2 linked regions of the Caenorhabditis elegans genome follow. The protein of the gene in region 2 interacts with the protein of the main gene of each other region in a pairwise test. Each region holds a gene or a part of one and is shown on either strand. Other genes may lie near its edges.

Region 1 (9,448 bases), 2.0 Mb from region 2:
TCCAAGAGGATCATCATGATTCTTGAAGTTAGTAGATTTAAAATAAAATTTACAAGTTTTTGAAAGTGGTAAATGGTGACAAATAATGAAATCATTGACCAAAACAGGTTGTCAGCATGAAATTTGACTGTCGGCAAATCTAATGCTTTGTACGCAAGAACACCGCAACGCAGAAATGCACAGACAATTGGCGCCAGATTCAAACGATAATATCTTTGTCAAAAAACATGTCTAAAAATAAAACTAAATCACTGCATTGATTAAAAGACAATGAGAATATAAATTCAGGGTACATCGAGTTAATGTATAAACTCGAATATCAGGCGCTACGAGTGTGTCGAGTTGTTATTCAGCAATGTACCTCGAATCGTTGCCTAGGCAACACGCTTAAAAGTGACGAGTCCACAAATAAAATGATTTTCGATTCCCAATGAGTTCAACACTACAGAACGATTTTCTGACTGATTTAGGAAAAACTAATTTAGATAAGGAAGCAGAAAACTTGGTAACTCTAATATTTTTGATTGTAATTTTTACAATTTTCGCGTTAGCAGTCATTGGAGCAATTTTGATAGGATGTCTAAAGGTTTGATTTTTCTCAAATAATCTAAAAGATTTATTTCAGCCTCAATGGTTCCGCCTAAATATTTATCAAGACCCCGTTCCAAAAATGGCAGACTTTTCATGTATAAACGTGTGTATTCCATGTAATTCATGCTCTTTACGTCAGTTACTTAATGGATGTTGTCCTAGATTAGTGAGTCTACAGTAGAAAGATCTACGAAAAATCAAAACTTTCAGCATTTAAAACAACGATTCAACTTCATAACAACGTGCTGTGACCGACCGGGACCCGAAAAATTAAATCTTGTTTGCTGTGTTGTTTAATTGTTGTAAATAGAATGAATAACATTATGTATTAACGAAAACTACAAAGATTTTAACCATTCCGCTACAGTAACCGCCAGTACGGTAGATTGCAATTTTCGCTGAATTTTCTAATATTATTATATACTCTTTTCGATAATCTGCTAATAAATATACAGATGTACAATTAAAATCATAAAGTTAATAAACCCTCAATGTGAAGTTGCAAAATATTAGCAAGTCCGGTAGCTGAAAATTTTAGCTCGTGGCAAGACCCGAGAACGTAATGCCACATTTAAGACGAGCCTGATTGCAGAGCTAAATGAAGGGATAAAATCATTTTAAAAAAAAACTATGAACAATCAATGGTTAAAATTTTCGCGAAACATTGTTTTAAAAGTTTAGGTTCATGTTTTGACGAATTATATTTTGCTCATAAAGAAATAGCTGAAATTGTAGCTTAACATTTTCTCAATTCGTTTTACACATTTCCATCTCCATCTCCACATTGGAGCACCATTTCCCTTTCTGTGGTTGGTTTCCATAGTAACCGCCCACCGCCTCGTAACCTCTTTGGGGTCCTAGTGCTATTAAAAATGGAAAATCTATCACAAGAACCATTTAAGTTGGGTGAGAATCTCTAAAAACCACTTTTCACAACTTTTTTAAAAAATTATTACAGAAATAATCTCAAGTTTTCCACTTCAAATTGCAATATATTTCAACTTATGCATCTATCCTATGCATTTGATTAATCTATGCTTATCATTATACTTCAAGGTAAAAAAAAAAATTACAGTGGAACATACTTAGAGCATTATTTGAATTTCAGCATAGTCTGCTGTCATTAACGTATCAAGTAATTGCATTTTCTGCGTGTTTAGTTCATTTGGGAAGTGAAGGAGTACGGCTAGGACTTGGATTTTATGGAAATTTGGCAGAAAATGTAAGTTTTGAATGAGTCAAGTCAGAAAATCGACACTAGTGTTTACAGATGTCAGCTCTTTTTGGATTCTTAATAACTACAATTATTATTCAAATTCCTCTTACAGTATTCTTGGCAGTGAATGGCTCTTTTCTGAATCTCCCACTTGAATACGTTTTCTACACAATGATTGTGATTTTTAGTGGATTTCAAGTGAAAATTCAAAAATCTGAATATTCTCAAAATATTTCTATTTCAGACTGTATTCGCTATAGAAGCTTTGATGAAAACTGCCGAACGAGAAGTTGCAAAATATATTAACAAGATTCAACAAGAAAAAGTAGCTGACGAGCTCGAGAAAACTTCAGGAAAATCTCCAAAAAGTGGAAGAAAAACGTTGAAAAAACAATTGTCAAGATGATGTATTTGAATAAACCCATTATTTATATGAATTTTAAAGTGAGATTTTTGAAATAAGAGACATGTGATAGCAAGATCAGAAAGTAAGAGATAAATTGAAATTACATGTTAGAATATTTAAATAAGACCAAGTGCTTGCTCGACAGTTTTCGACTCTCCAGGCTGGTAGATTTTGTTGATTAATGCTATGCTTCTTGCATGGGGAGCAGTCCGACGACGTTGATGAGCACACCAACTGAAATTTTTTTTTTTGGATTCTCTGACTTTGAAGAAATAGTAGTGATCACAGATTGCTAGTACAATATTTTTTATTTTATAGTTTGATACAAAATTCGACAAATGAAATTCTAACATAGAGCACAGTTACCGTAATACTTTAAGAAATAAATTTTTACGGAAATTTTCAATGGCAGAAGAAGTGTTACCCTTTTTTGACTTGTTTCCAATGACGAATGTATTCATTTTTCAAATCTGTTTCATATCTTGGATCGACTGTAGCGTCGAATTCATCGATTCTAGATGGAACAATTGGCAGCTCAGGAATTGATTTATCTGGACGTGGCATTCGATGAATCTCGCGACATGCAAGATAATCCTGAAGGAAATAATTATAACATTTTTCATTTAATCTTTCCCACTCACAACAGCCAGATTCGGTGCATAGTCTGTCCTTTGAGCTTTTATTGGTTCATATTCATTATTCATGTGTCCTTTAACCCATGCTCTACCAAGTGAATATTCTTCTTCAAAACGTCCAGCTATCATTTCGAATGGTTTTCCACGCAATTCAAACATAATTTTAGAATCACGAGTCATAGTCTTGCGTGGTGATTCCATAAGTGAAGTTGAAGATTCGTGACGCGGCATCTTACGAGGGCGACCTGGTGGACGTCCTTGGCGCCCGGGCTCTTCATCAGCACGACTGAAATTATAAAAAATGCAATGGAAACTCTAATTTTTCAATTATGTCTAAAATTTATATTACGAAAAACAAAAAGGTCCACATTGTCTAAATTTTTTTCTGTTATGTATATTCCAGGACGCGACATTTGACAAAAATTAACTATTTATCTGGAACCAAAAAACTGAAAAAAAATGCTGTATTTACTGTAAACGTTTTCTGTGTACAAAATTTATTTTACTTTTCTTTCAAACTAAATGTGGCTCTGCATAGTTTTTAATTCTTTTTCTCAAATATTAAGGTTTAAAATTCAATCTCCAATTTTTTTTTGGCTTTTTTACATATTTTTGCTTTTTGATACAAAATCAAAACCAAAAAAAAAATGATTTTTCGCCCCAGGCATGGTATACTCTGCCGAAAATTAAACAAGAATTGAAATTTTCCATTTTATCACTTACGTATAATCTTCTGGGAGTACTCCAATTATTTCCGATGGGTGATGTTTTATGGTTGTCAGCAGATTTCCCAGACGTTTTCTGGCGAATTTCATATCCGGTGACTCCGGAACTGTCGGATCATAGGATAACAGGGATCTGGAAGCATCTTGAGTAGCACAATTGTTTCAAGTTTAGAAAGTATTACGTGAGTTTTCTGCTTGGCGATTCCAATGGAAGTGGACCTCCGCTTATCAATGGATCATTTTGACGAGCATTTCGATCTCCGTCTTCTGGAAGCAAGAACTCGGCAAGTGGATCTATTTCTGACATCTAGAATTGGAGAGGAATACATTATTTGGACAGTGAACAGCGAATACTTGCCAAAGTAATAAAGGTATTTAACCTTTAATAAAAAGAGATAAAAATTGTAGAGTAAATATAAGGACGACAATTTTTGAAGCAGTTATTAAATTAAACAATAAATATTTTTGGGTACTTGTATAAACATGAACAAGGAGAGAAGAAAATTTCGAATAAATATATAAATTCTGAAAGAATCTAAGATAGTATTGAAACTGACAAAAAGTGAATTATAGCAGAATATGTGTTGCTACTCGTTCTTTCTTGTGGACGCTGTCCGGTTTGCCGAATAGACAACGACGGTGAGAATTGCTGTTGCGATGGAGTAGGCAAAGCGGAATGCCAAGAGAGACCATCCGTAGAGAGAGAATGTGTGTTGAACGGTTCTGAAATAAAAAAAAATTTACATTTTTTGACTAGTAAAACCAATACTTACTGATAAACGAATGTTGAGAAGACACACATCGCAAGGATCGGTGACACCAAGAACTTGTTTGGAGTGCGGGTGATCATCCATGTAAGGCAGGCGAGAGACACAATAACCAATAGATCAGCTGAGGAATCAAGAGATGTCTGAAAATATAATATTATCTTTTTTTCAGAAAAAAGGAAGATTTGATCACCTGAACCCAACGCCATGTGAAAGCGGTTCCACGAGCTCCAACCCATAAAAGAACAAGACGATGAGCAACAGAATGAGCGAATCCCCAGCCAAGACCACCGACAACGAATCGAACTTCTCCTTTTCCGGCTAAGAAGTTGGTCATCAGAAGGTGAAGCCCAATGACATCGATGATGTCAGCACTGCTTTTTAGGAATTCCTGCAATGATTCTGAGATTGGCAATGAAAACCAAAATCAATAAGTTTGAAGTGTCCGAAGGATTATGTCCGGCGAGGATGGGTTTATGGTAAATTTCACTTAAAACTTGAATTAAAATGATTTTCATTGAAACGTTATTTATAGCTCCAATTTTGAATAGAAAAATTAATTACATACCGGCACAATACTGAATCCTTCACTGTCGAGGGCTGGGAAAAATGTGGCAATGATAAGCAGTTTGGCGAGTTGTGTCAGCAAATATCCACCACTAGCAGTTGCACATTTCCAGATGGAACTGTATTCGTTAATTCCTATAAAAATAGTGGTGTTTCATTGACTTCCCATAAAAAATATTACCTGAGTATTTGTAGACAATAAAATATGGTGCAAATGCCAACGCGAAGCAATTGATGAAATGGAAAAATGACATTTTGTAGATTTAGCTTACCTGAAAGATATTGAATTAATATTAAAACTATATACTTGATATCAAGGAACAAAGAAGGTAATTTTTAATTCTTAAGCAATTATGAATTACTGAATGTTAATATTTTAGGACTATAAATTTCGTTTGGACACACTAGAAACCTTCAAAAACACCAGCCGATGATTATGAAATTCATTTTGAGAATAATCATTGGATTTAAAATAACTAAAATTCAATAAAATCGATAAAATGGGCATTTGAATGATGATATTTGAAGGGCTCACGCTACCAGAAGTTGACGAAGAGCGACAAAAAAAGAGTAGTGCAACCGCGCTTTATTGAGAACCATTTACGCGCGAAGTTTGAATAGGACTTTCTATCATATGGCAGACTTTTCGAATTCGTATTAAAACAAATAATTTACAAATAAAAAGATCTTTATAATCATAATCATCAATCGTAATAGCAAGTGTGTTGTTCCATAGAAGAGCGGTACGCAAAAATTGTGAGCATCACCAGTGCCACGAGCAACCACCAGTTGGATTCCGAGCTGTAGAAAATGTGTTCCATTTTACGAAACATCAAAACATTGGAAACGGATGGAATAGCATAATGTTCCGGTGCTTGAGTAGAAGATGGCATAAAGATCAACGAGCTATTGGAGCCAGACCATGCTCCTGGAGATGCAGGTGATCCCGGTGGGATGTCCTTCATGGATTCTTGCTTGATAACATGGTGCACCGGGGACTTTGGCGGATGAACATCAGTTGGAGCCGGCAAAATGATCAAATTTGGATCTGGTCTTGATTCGGGTTGTGTGACAAGTGCCGGTTGATGATGGATGAGCTCGGGAATGTTAGACGGAGGCGATACGGGCGGTGGCTTCATGATTTGGAGACCTGGGGACCGGGGTGGAATGAATTCGGGTGGGTCCGGTGTAACTTCAAGGTCCTCCGGCTCCAGCTCAGACATTCCGATTTGGCCAGGCAGGTTTCGGAGCTGTAATTCATAATTTGAAAATAATTTTAATAGAAATTACATTCGATTTCATCGAATTATTTTTTTGCGAACTTAAATATTTTTAAAGCTAAATTGGGAGCGAAGTCTTGACACGTCCGCATACTTTTCATCTCGAGTACCCGCTAGTCTTCGTACTTTTTTGTGTTTTTAATTAGTTTTCTATTAAATTATTACACTAGAAATATCAATAAAAACGGAAATCCACCGTATATGCGGGTACGATAGCTGAAAAAATTTGTTCGTGCCAGGACCCGAGGCATTACAAATCGTAATAATGCTAACCATCTTCAAATCGATTGCCTTTGCCGGCGGTGGGCATGTTTGCTCATAGAGCTTACACCACAACGTCTGATTATCCGGAGACATAAAGGAGTTTGGTGGAGCTGGTGGTGGAAGTGGAGGTGACGAGATTGAACGGGTTCGCGTTGCACCACGATGACGACGTTTTTTGTTTGATTGACTAGAAATATATTTCAATTTCTCAGAACTTTTTCGATCTATGTCTCCATAAAAGAGCAGAGTGAAGGTACTGTATATTGATTTCGTAAGTTTATACACCTTGTTGTTTTACGTATACTTTTTCTACTACGTGGCCGCGGAATACGAAAACTCGGTCACCCTCATAAAAAAAATTAGAAGCGTACCCTCGGAAATCAGCTCGTTCCCCCTTCTAAGACCATTGTCAGTGGAACGTTTACCAATCATTTTGCTACACATGTGGCCACGAAAAAATACGATGGCCGTGATTTCTTTTTTATGGTCACGTAGAAAAAAACCGATCTGCGGGTTCAGGAAAATCCACGAAGATCGTGGCAAGACCTACCTCTTGTGATGTCTTCTCTTCTTCTTAGCCTCTTGCAATCTACGCTTCTTCTCCTCCAAATACTCATCTTTAGCAGCTCCACCTTGCTCACAAACCGTCTGTGTATCGTCAGCTCTTCCACAACACGCACAATCACATTTTCCAACCAAACCAGGAACTCGTTTCGGGCTCTTCCCAAGCTCCACCGCTTTTATGACATCCGTACGAATGTGCTTCGATTTCCAGACACTTGTGTCAAGCTGATCTTCGGCTGGACTTGCCACGTGGTTTTGTTTCGGCGGGGCCGGCTCTTCGTCGTAAATTTTCACCGGCTTCCAGTTTGCACGAAGTGGACGGACGTTCAGGCGGACGCTGACCTGGAAATTAAGAGTACTGTGAATGAGGTTTTACTATTCACATATGTCTGCGGGCCAGACAATAAAACACCTTTTGGTGTTCGTTCCAAAGTTTAACATTGCGGACACACGAAATTAGAAATCTTCGTATTGCGATTGACCGATTTCGTTATGAATTATACGCACATCGCGATGTAATTGTGATGTCCCGTGGCCGCGAGAAAAAAAACTGATGGCCGAGTGTTCCCTTCTCACGGCCATGTGACAAAAGCCGATCTTTCCCCCACCTGCGGATTCTTGGCGGCCTCTCGTTTTTTCTTCTTTTCTGAGGCTTGCTGCATTTGTCCTATTGTTACCAAGTTATGAATAACGCCAATTTGAGGAATGCGTGTTGAAATTGGTTGAATAAATTGAAATTGAATCAAGATAACTTTTTTTCGCACGGTTTCGAAAAATGAAACGAATTAAAAGTGAACACGTTTTGAATAATTTAGTTAAATTGTGTGTTACTAGATTTACAAATGAAATGTTTTTTTTTGGTTGATATTTTGAACTTTTGTTATTACAGGAGGTAGATTTTTTATTGTGTAAAACTGATTAAATATTCACAACTTTTCGACTTCAGAGTGGTCCTCTGAAACTTCTGTGATTGATGTGGTTCTTTCTTTAGATTTCCTAAAAATCGATGGAAATTTTGAAAATTGTTTGATGAAAACGCCTCGCAGCTTTTTGTCCGATAATATATTAATGACAGGATCAGCAATCATAGCGATAAGCCTGAAAAATATCTCGTGTAACAATATCATATAGATTTTCTCAACTTACCAAACAATCGCTGATATACTTGCCATCATTTCAACGTCAATAAGGAGATAACTTAGACGAAATGTTTTACAGGGACTTTTACATCCTTCTCCTAATGATGAAAGCTCTTTCAGATTTACAAGTGCAACTATACAAACAATAAGAATAGGAATAGTTCCAATGGCAAAAGTTATCATATTCATACTCAATCGACGCATCGCAATCATACCTTAAAATCAGAAAGTTCTTCTTTATTTAAATAGAATTGTTGTGGGATAGAGGCATCTAGAAAGTTCTAAAAAGATGTGAAGTATAGATTAATGAAAGATATTAATTTCTTATTTTCTTGAGGAAATGTTAACAATACCAGGAATTAAATATCCACAGCACACGAGCTTTGAATTTTTTTTTTCAAATACATTTAAAAAATGATCTTTTGAGTTATCTCCGGCAAAGAAAAGTAGAAATTGTCAAAAACTCTCGTAAATCGAAAAAGCAGAAAAAGAACCCCAAAATCATTAAATTTCAATCCAAAACTTACTATTTGAATTGCATCTAGCTTGAACCATAGAAGACTTTCGAACTAATTGATGAATTCTTGCCATCATTGCAATATATAAACCGATTACTGTACCATAACATATCGATAACATAATCACTATCACAATTGCAAGCGGCTGCTGACAAGATTCAAATGAGCAGGTAAAAGGAGCAGAGTCTGGATAGAAAAGTGTTGCTCCCCACATTCCAACAAAAACCTAGAATACTATTTTTTTTTACTAATCACAATTGATGGACAAGAAAACAAACAGATGTAACAGTTGATATTATCCAAATTAATCCAATAATTAGCCAGCAATGTGTAAGAGTTATCGTAGTCATATAGGAAATGTGATGGGCTACGGCCATATATAAAATTACTGTCAGAACTATATAGATACCTGGAATGCTTAAATGAAAGTTTTAAGATTTCTAAATTAGCGATTAAACGAACCAGTAATTGACATAAACGTGCTACCTCCGATAATAATAAAAATCATTGCTGAAACATAATTAAATCCGTTAACTTTCCAAACAATAAGTATAACATAAAATAATACAATGGCAAAGATATTTGATGATGATCGACTCATTAGGAATGCCTCTCTTTTTTTGAAACTGAAAATGTTTAACTTGCAGAGATTTCGCTAACAATTCTCATACCCCATAGTTTCATATCTAAAACATTTGATTTGAGCTATCAAGTATCCTAGATTTATAATAAATGTGATAATTGACAAAACCATCGGTATGATGGCAAGAAAATAA
Region 2 (8,645 bases):
TGCTAGAGAAGCATTGCTCAGACTCTGGGATATTACTTCAGAAAAGTAATTTTTATCAAAAAATATTTGATACGATGCTCCTGTAGCTATTACCGAGAAGCGAAAATTTTCAATTTTTGCACAAAAAAATCGGTACCCGGTTTTTTTGTAAAATGTAAAAGAGTGTGAATTATCATAGATTTTTCGTAGTTTTTAGGGGGAAAAAAATGAAAAATCAATAAAAATTTAGCAGCAACAAGAGCTTGAAGTTACAGTACACATTTCAAAAACAATTTCGTGTTCAGACTAGGTACCGTATTTTTGGCGCAAAATTTCGCATCTAGATGATATTTAAAAAATTAAAATTTCAAGCTTAATCAGAAGCAGGGCTGGGGCAAAAAAAAGCCGAAGACAACGAAAAAATAAAATTCGCCGAAAACCCAGAAAAAGCGAAAAACAGATAATATTCTGTTTAAAACGCTTTTTTGGAACATTTTTGAACCTACTACGCTAGTTACATTTTCGAGTGTCTTTTTTTTTTGAAAACAAAAGTCAAATTTCGAAATTCATGAATTTTGAAGCTAGATAACCCGATTTTCCAGCAAAAAATATTCAGCGAAAGTTTAAATTCTATGAAATTAAAAATAAAGTAATTTTTTCAGAGTCCTCTTCTTTGGCGATCGTGCTGCCAATGTACCACTGGAACGATACTCTCAACCGAATTTCTCATTGTCACAGAAGTGCTCTCCAGGGTATTTGCCAAAACCAATCTTCAAAATCAATGAAAATCTACTTCTTAATTTCAGAACAAACACGAACATTATTGACCATAGCCAACCTGTTGAATCACCAGACAATCTAATTGAAGCAGTTCTCCGATACCGAAATGTGGTTGATGCAGAAGTAGGAAAGAGCTACACTAAACGATTGCGACACAAATTCTCGCGTGGTTCGCTTGCGAAACGGTCCTTCAGATATCTTGTCAAGCCGAAGCCTTACACGGTTGCTTAATTATTATTATCTAGAGAGAAGCCTTTAAACCTTCAGATTTCAATCGTATTATCTCATTTTTCCTCTTTTTTTGTTTTGTTCCAAATAGTTTTCCTTTCATTTTTGTTTGTGTTGTTAAATTTTTCAAATCAAGCTAGAATAGTGAAAGTTTCAATTTTACTCTGTTATTTGTTCTACTACATTTCCCCATTTCCACACTTGTACATGAGTGCTCAATGAAGTCGAAATTGGCAACAGCTAATCCATTCAGTTCCCATCTTGTTAAAGGAACATAAATTAGTCACATTTAAAATTCAAATTGAATTCATAATGCATCCCTTTCCTCTCTTCTTGTTGTTCCCTTCTTCCTTCCATCTCCGCTTTGCTCTTTGTCCTCCCATCGGCTCCTTGATAAATGATGGGGTCCCCCTTGGCCAGATGCAACCCCATTTATCTAAGACCCCGCTGCTGGCTCCGTGAGCACATACACAAGAGATGTGACCCTTTGATAAGCCCCAATGGGACGATTCTTCTTGTTTATTAGAAATTTGATATGCAGTTTGTTGATGGAAGATTAAATTTGAACAATATTTTATAAACAGTGGAAGGTGGAAATTGGAGCGTTCTATAGAATTATAGAAAAATTCATTCATTTGTTTATCAGTCAGTTATCAACCGATTATAGATCACACCAATGTAATGGACATTACAGAAAAAAATACGTAAGAAACCACAGGTTTACAGATCCGGAAAAAGAAAATTCAGACGTCATTCTCTATGATTACGGTAGTTGGTGAGCTCTGTTGAGTGCACTCTTGCATTTTATTTTACGTGCAAACACATCGTACTGCTTCTTTAAACTAAGTACTTGTTTTTGCCAATAATAATAATATAAAATATTTTGTATATTTTTTCGATGAACATATTATATACATATTTTTTATGATAATCATATTTTCGATAAACTTTTAAAAAAACGAAAATCAAACAATATAAAAACATAGATTTCCTGAGAAAAACTATGAAAAATCGATTAAAATTCCACAAAGTTTGAAATCACAGTACTCTTAAAAGGCGCACACCTTTTCACATTTAACAAAACGCATTCGCGTTGAGACCAGGTACCGTATTTTCGACGTAACAATCGAATGATATAACTACGCAAGATTAGTTTTGTTCTGTCAGAGTGAAAGTTTAAAGAATCTGACATAATTCTTCAAGTCAGTTGTTCAATGACCTTTTCAGCCAAACAAATTGAGAAGTACCACATCACACCTGGCTCCATCTTCCATGCATTAATGGGAACAATTTGAGCAATTGGTGGTGATGATAAAAAAGAGATAAAGTTGCACTTTTTCTTTGATTTTTTCATGATTCCTGATTCACCTTTAGTTTTTTTTCTTTTTTACACTGTCTTTGTGCTTTTGAGCTTCTTCTTCTTTCATTTCTCAAAAAGCTGCAAGACATCACGTGACACAATTGAGCCATAGACATACTTTGTGGTTTGTAGTGTGTTATGAAGTGTCTGAAGCGTTCAGAAGATCCCTCTGATGAAACTGAAACAAAACATCTCATTGACTAAGGTTTGCAGGTACATCAAAGTGTAATGGGGTCAATGAAGAGCCTGATGAAATTGATAAAGAGATAAGATGATAGGGATTGGAATGTTCTAGATTCGATTGAAAAAGAGATGGAAAAGTAGAGATCACGGATTGACAAATGCTATGAAGTTCTGCAAATGAGCTTTACAAAAACGCGACCACGATGTCGCACTTTTAACATTTTCTATCAAAAATGTTGAAGAATCGAATTCGAGGAGCATAAAGAATGAAAATCTGTTTTTTTTAATTGAAAATACCATGAAATTCAGTTAATTACAGAAAGCTCCAAAAATGATTGGAAAAAATTAAGCCGCCAGATGTCAAATGCTTTAACTTTTTTCAAAGAAGAGTTGATAACAAATTGTCAATAACAAAAACAAAGAAAACGTTATGACCTATATTTTGTATGTAGAAATTTTTTTTGCAAAACCTATTAGTTTTTGACTTATTCTCTTTTGGAAATTTTGAAAAATTATCAAGTTTTCCTACCTGCGCTTTTCAAACTTCAAAAAACTATGCAACTTGTCCTTCCAGTTTCTGAATTACGTTGTTGGCAAATAAGCTACCGTAACCCTGCACTTTGTACCCAATTCTTTCAACTGCTCAATGGACCTCGGAACCATATTGTTTACAATCACAACAACCACAACAAAACCCATAAACTTTGTGAAGACAACTCGAAAGTTTCGAAAATGTGCTTTACGTGAAGCCGACATGTGGTAGCCATTTGGGATTCATTTCACCGACCAAACTTCAATTCTTTCCATCTTTTCTAGAGAACAATCAATCGTTATTTGAATTAAAATACTTTATTTTGGGGGAAAATAATTGGAAAACCATATCATAATTATTACTTCTTAGTTGACGTATTGTCCGACGATGGCTTGAATCTTTTCGTCTGAAAATAATAAAATTATTGTTTGAATTAAACAATTTGAATGCTCAAAAATCTCAGAATTTTAAAACTCACTTTGGAAGAATCCAGTGAGGATTGGGAACTCAGCGGTGATGGTAGCCTTGGCGTCATCAGAAAGAGCCTTGTATTCAGCGATGTATCCCTTGGCGAGTTCCTTAAGAGAATCAAGAGTTGGCTTATCTCCGGCGAGGTATTGTTGGTGGAGTTCACGTCCCTTGGCGATGATCTTCTTGACAAGAGCCTGAGCGGTGGCATCGAGTTTCTCGAATTTAGCGGTGAGGAGAGCCTCGAGCTTTCCAGCCTTCTCGTAAAGGGATGGAGACTTTTCCTTGAGAGCAGCCTTGAATTCTTCCTCGGTCTTGTATTCCTTGTGGTTTTGGGCGAGTTCCTTAAGAGCAGCCTTCTCCTCAGCGGTGATGGCCTTGAGGTGCTCGGCAACTTCAGCTGGGATGAGTCCCTTGTACTCGGCTGGGATGTCGTCGAAGTTCTGTGGAACCTCTGGGATTGGGGCAGAGAAGACAGCCACGGAGGCAAGGGCTACGACGAGGAAGGCGCGGATCATTACTGCAATATTTTAAATTAGGGGTGGGAAATTTTAAGGTGAAATAGAAATAGAAGGTGATATCAAAGTTAAAGAACCAGTAAACTAGAAAAAAGAAACCATTTAGCAAAGTTTCGAAGTAGAAGATGAAGCTTTGAGCTGCTTCTGCTGTGCCGATTCTGCTCCGCCAGCCGATCTTTTATACGACCTTGGATGATGTATGTTTGAACCTCGTTTCATCAACGAAATAGTGCGTTGAACCATGAGAGTTCCGATGAAATATCACGTTCCCTTCGAGACGCAGACCTCATTTTTCCCTTATTTCTATTATAAAAAACCACTTTTAGTGTAATGAAGTTTAGGAAAAAATGTTTCTTTTTTCTATTTCTATTTCGATTCCCTTTGCTGCTGCTGATTCTTCGCAACTGCTCTATCTCACTGACTCCGCCCATTTGAATTGCTCATTTTCTGAGTCTCTCAAAGGACTACACTCTCGCTAGTTGATTGTAATTCTTCTGGGGTCACCATGTGGTCCGCCTCTTTTTGTTCGACTTTAAAAGATGCTCAGAACAATGGAAATCAACACTTCAGTCTCATTTCGCTTTCTTCTTCTTCTTATTCTTCTTCTTCTTCGTCACATCCCCGATTCTCATAATCTTTCAAATTTTCAGTAATGATCCGTGCCACTATCATCCTCGCCGCTGTCGCTGCCCTCGCCTTCTCTGCTCCAGTCCCGGAGGTCCCAGAGAACTATGACGATATCCCAGCTGAATACAAGTCCCTTATCCCAGCCGAGGTCTCCGAGCATCTTAAGTCCATCACCCCAGAAGAGAAGGCTATTCTTAAGGAGGTCGCCAAGGGATACAAGGACTTCAAGAGCGAGGATGATGTGAGTCTGAAAATTGAAAACTCTAGACCAATAATCAAAATATTAAATTGCAGTTCTTGAACGCCCTCAAGGAAAAGTCTCCAACTCTCCACGAGAAGGCCTCCAAGCTCCACCAAATCGTCAAGGACAAGGTCAACGCTCTCAATGATGAGGCTAAGGCTTTCGTCAAGAAGGCTATCGCTGAAGGACGTAAGATCCACGCTCAATACTTGGCCGGAGAGAAGCCATCCCTCGACACCCTCAAGACCACCGCCAAGACGTAAGTTTCGAGAAAATTACAAATTTCTCTGTCAGGATAACATTTCAGCCACATCGAAGCCTACAAGGGACTTTCCCAAGATGCCAAGGACTCCATCGCCAAGGAATTCCCAATCCTCACCGGATTCTTCAAGAGTGAGTTTAATAAACTTCTAATAATTTTCAATTTAATAATTATATTAATTTTCAGACGAGAAGGTTCAAGCCATGGTCGGACAATACCTCAACTAAATTTCCATTTCGCATTTTCTTTTTGTTTTTAATGTAATAAGCTTAATGGTTGGTTATTGGTTTTCTATAAACTTTGAATCGCAATAAAAACTTGATGCTTTCTGTAATGACTCATTAAATCAGTAGCAGTTGGTATCTCAAACAAATGATGCCCTCACAACAGTAGCATTCGGGCCTCTAAGATAAATTACTTTTAGTGAAAGAACTGATCGGAGACAATTGGAAAGATTTAACGGAGAAAAAAGTCTGCAAAGTCGATGCTTGAGACTTGTCAATTGGCCATTTAAAAAACTTGCACAGAAGTTGCTAGAGATTGGAATTTAAAAAAAACCTAAAAATCAAAGTCCCATCTTATTGCAAGCCTGTCAAAACTTATATTGTTTCAAGTACTCAAAATCAAATAGCATCCTTTCAATTAAGAAACATAACCATATTGATTTTAGGTACTTGGGATCAAATAGCGTTATTTCAGGTTCTAAACAGAGGAATTCACTGTGCTTTAAGGCAGTTGAAGCACTATCCATAATATCTGACATCCACCATCCAACGCTGAACGAGAATAAACGTTGATGCATCTTTGTTGTAGGACCCGAACGTTGACAATCCAGCAAAGAAGAGAATTCCGCCATCCATTCGATGAAGTGTCCAGCTTGTCCAAATGTTTTAAAATGACATAATGATGAAGTTGTTGAATTTATAAAATTATTGTTATCAAGATGTACTTGATTAAAATTTATTTTTAAAAATCATTTGTTATTTTCGACGTTACTGATTTTTATCTATTTTTATACTTTTCACTCATTTCTCAATTCTTAATCAAACCAATGGGCAACTCATCCGCAATTTTCAGAGCGTGTTCAAGATTCTAAAACCACCTCTATACATCAATAATACTATAATGCACAACTAACAACAAACATTAAATCTTTCCAATCATATAATCCCTAATCTTTTCAATCTGCTTCTACCATCTCCAATCATACTCCCTTCTTTTGACAGAAAAATTACGATTATTTTACAATAAGCGGCTCAGATAATCTGAAAAGTATTCCACCCACAACGTCTTAAATTTTCTACACATAGAATAGAAATGCACAAAAACAATCTCGACTTCATTTTTCTTTCACTTTTTCTCTTTTCTCTCTCCGTGTATGTATTTATTTTTTATTTTTCCTTGTGACTTCCATAATCCGCGCACGGCCTCTATTTCCGTACACAATCTCATCTCTTTTTACTTTCAGCATTTTTTTGCGTTTATCTCAGAGCACACATTCATAATTTACATTTTCTCTGAACCTTAGTTTTTCTCTGAAGTTTTTTTCAAAAATTCCGACGGAATATCGGAGGCAATTGGCAACTTTCGTGCAAATTTCGAAAACCTATTTCAAACTTTCAACAAAAAAGTACTTTTGGTTCCAGATTGAGCAAACAGTTTTGTATATTACAACACTAAAATTGAATAAAAATAATAAATAAAATAGCTTATTATGAAGAAGTGTCCCAGCTCTTCTGTGTCCATTAATCGACTGCGGTTTTCTCCTCGAATGAGTTTCTCTTGGTTCTAGAACTTTGCTAAAATTTATAGGTGTAAAGCCTGCATTTTGCCGTTGTAAAAGTTATAAATTTTCCCAAAAGTACGTCGAACAATTTTTCCACTTTTCTCTCTCTCGGAAAACAATTTCCAAAAAGAAGGAGTTCCAGTATTTCTTTGTTAGTCAGTCTCTCCATTTTCTCTTTCATCCACTCTCGTTTTTTTCGAGAAGCTGTGAACTCCGTCTTTCTCTAGTTTTCGCCGTTTTTTTGGTGCAATAAGCAGCAGAAAACACGAGCAGAAGGGGGCTGTATCAGACGACGTGGGTCCCTTCAATTGCCTCCTCTCCTGCTGAATACTTTTCAGGCGCCACTTCATAGATTTCACACAGCTGATTTTATTTAGTTTCAGAAGATTTGTTCGTGTGAAAATTATATATTCAAGACTAGAAAAATTCTTTTTTTTTTCTTAACTGGAATTTTTCATCTAGTGTGTTTTTGTGAAAACAGAAAACACTTCACAATTATATCAAATTTTCAAACCACTTGAATTCCATGCGTGGTTTTTAGTGGCGGTCTATAATCCTGAGGGATACATGTATAGCTCACTTTTTCAAAAAATAAAACCTTCTCAATGTATAGTTTTCTTTTTCCAGTTTATTTTCCAAACAAAGGCCCAATTGCAAATTTTATAGAAAAATTGTATATACGTGATAAACTTAGCATTCAAATTTTGTAATAACTGCTAGATCGAATAATCTATTCAAACATCACTAAATTTAAAATCATATGATTTTAATATTTTGTTCCGAAGATTACCGGACACCGATCTTGAACTACATAAGCCAAAAATCTGTGAGGCAACGGCTTAAGTTGTCTAACGGTGTTTCTTTTCACTGACAAAGCCATCAATAGGCTCTTTTCTTGAGATGTGAAAGTATTTTGAACACTTGCCCAGCAAGGCCGTAAGTATGAGAAACATAACCAAAAAGCACCTACAGTAGTTTTAAGATACTTCTTTTCAGAAATTTGAATGAATATGGGTTCTAAACATTGCTTACATTTGAAACTGTTGTATTTATTGATCATTTGGTCTCTTCCTCGTTTTATGCATTAAAACAAAACAAACAAATTTTTCAGATCATGAATGCTATGTTTCACTCATTATTTGCTCTAAGTTTTGTTAGTTTGGTAGCATCAATAAATAATCAAAACTCGAGATATGATAAAATGTTTTTGGCAATGGTTTGTCAAGATCAAAACGGTTGCGAAGTAAATATACGTTTTCTGGTAAGAGATAGTTTTGAGACTTCAACCAAGAAATTTTAAACATTTAAACTTAACTCAAAAGTAGGAAACTTGAACGCAGTAAATTTAGAATTTAAAATATGCCTGCCTATCGGATTTTTTTCTGTTTGTTTGCTGAAACTACTCGAATTTTATGGGATTTTGAATATATAAAAATTAGAATTGTTTGAGAATTATTTTCAAAACAGAAAAAAACAAGTTCAGCTGTACTTTGGCAATCGCCCAGTGGAGGCATTGTAGGCATGTAGGCATTTTGTGCCTATAATCTTCGGAATGGCTCGAGCTTGATTTTGTAGCAACACTACTACTAGGAAATAGAATGGTAACAAATAGAAAAATAAGAAGTGATTGCAGGATTAAGTAACCAAAAATCTACAGAAAACTCCATTACATAAGAAAATA

The links.
Region 1: the proteins of far-2 (region 2) and lin-37 interact in a two-hybrid assay, tested with the Caenorhabditis elegans proteins (3 studies listed by BioGRID).

What each region holds. Positions count from the first base shown.
Region 1 is NC_003281.10:7,068,673-7,078,120, forward strand, and holds lin-37 (uncharacterized protein), read right to left. Parts: upstream 3,881-9,448; coding exon 3,756-3,880; intron 3,707-3,755; coding exon 3,572-3,706; intron 3,135-3,571; coding exon 2,855-3,134; intron 2,808-2,854; coding exon 2,638-2,807; intron 2,448-2,637; coding exon 2,330-2,447; 3' UTR 2,218-2,329; downstream 1-2,217. Other genes in the region: R01H2.8 (uncharacterized protein), read left to right, coding at 431-586, 626-757, 802-888; tmem-17 (transmembrane 17 domain-containing protein), read left to right, coding at 1,609-1,647, 1,700-1,813, 1,862-1,984, 2,052-2,213; ZK418.5 (BOS complex subunit TMEM147), read right to left, coding at 4,161-4,296, 4,347-4,483, 4,534-4,731, 4,909-5,042, 5,089-5,161; ZK418.13 (Pollen-specific leucine-rich repeat extensin-like protein 1), read right to left, coding at 5,612-6,157, 6,461-6,638, 7,002-7,357, 7,624-7,677; ZK418.6 (G-protein coupled receptors family 1 profile domain-containing protein), read right to left, coding at 7,942-8,113, 8,162-8,369, 8,682-8,898, 8,951-9,081, 9,135-9,298, 9,344-9,448.
Region 2 is NC_003281.10:9,077,233-9,085,877, reverse strand, and holds far-2 (Fatty-acid and retinol-binding protein 2), read right to left. Parts: upstream 4,051-8,645; 5' UTR 4,049-4,050; coding exon 3,541-4,048; intron 3,469-3,540; coding exon 3,428-3,468; 3' UTR 3,367-3,427; downstream 1-3,366. Other genes in the region: mrpl-44 (Large ribosomal subunit protein mL44), read left to right, coding at 1-45, 642-731, 786-990; far-1 (Fatty-acid and retinol-binding protein 1), read left to right, coding at 4,701-4,916, 4,970-5,175, 5,224-5,309, 5,365-5,405; F02A9.1 (uncharacterized protein), read left to right, coding at 8,079-8,225. UniProt on the Caenorhabditis elegans protein: Probably binds lipids.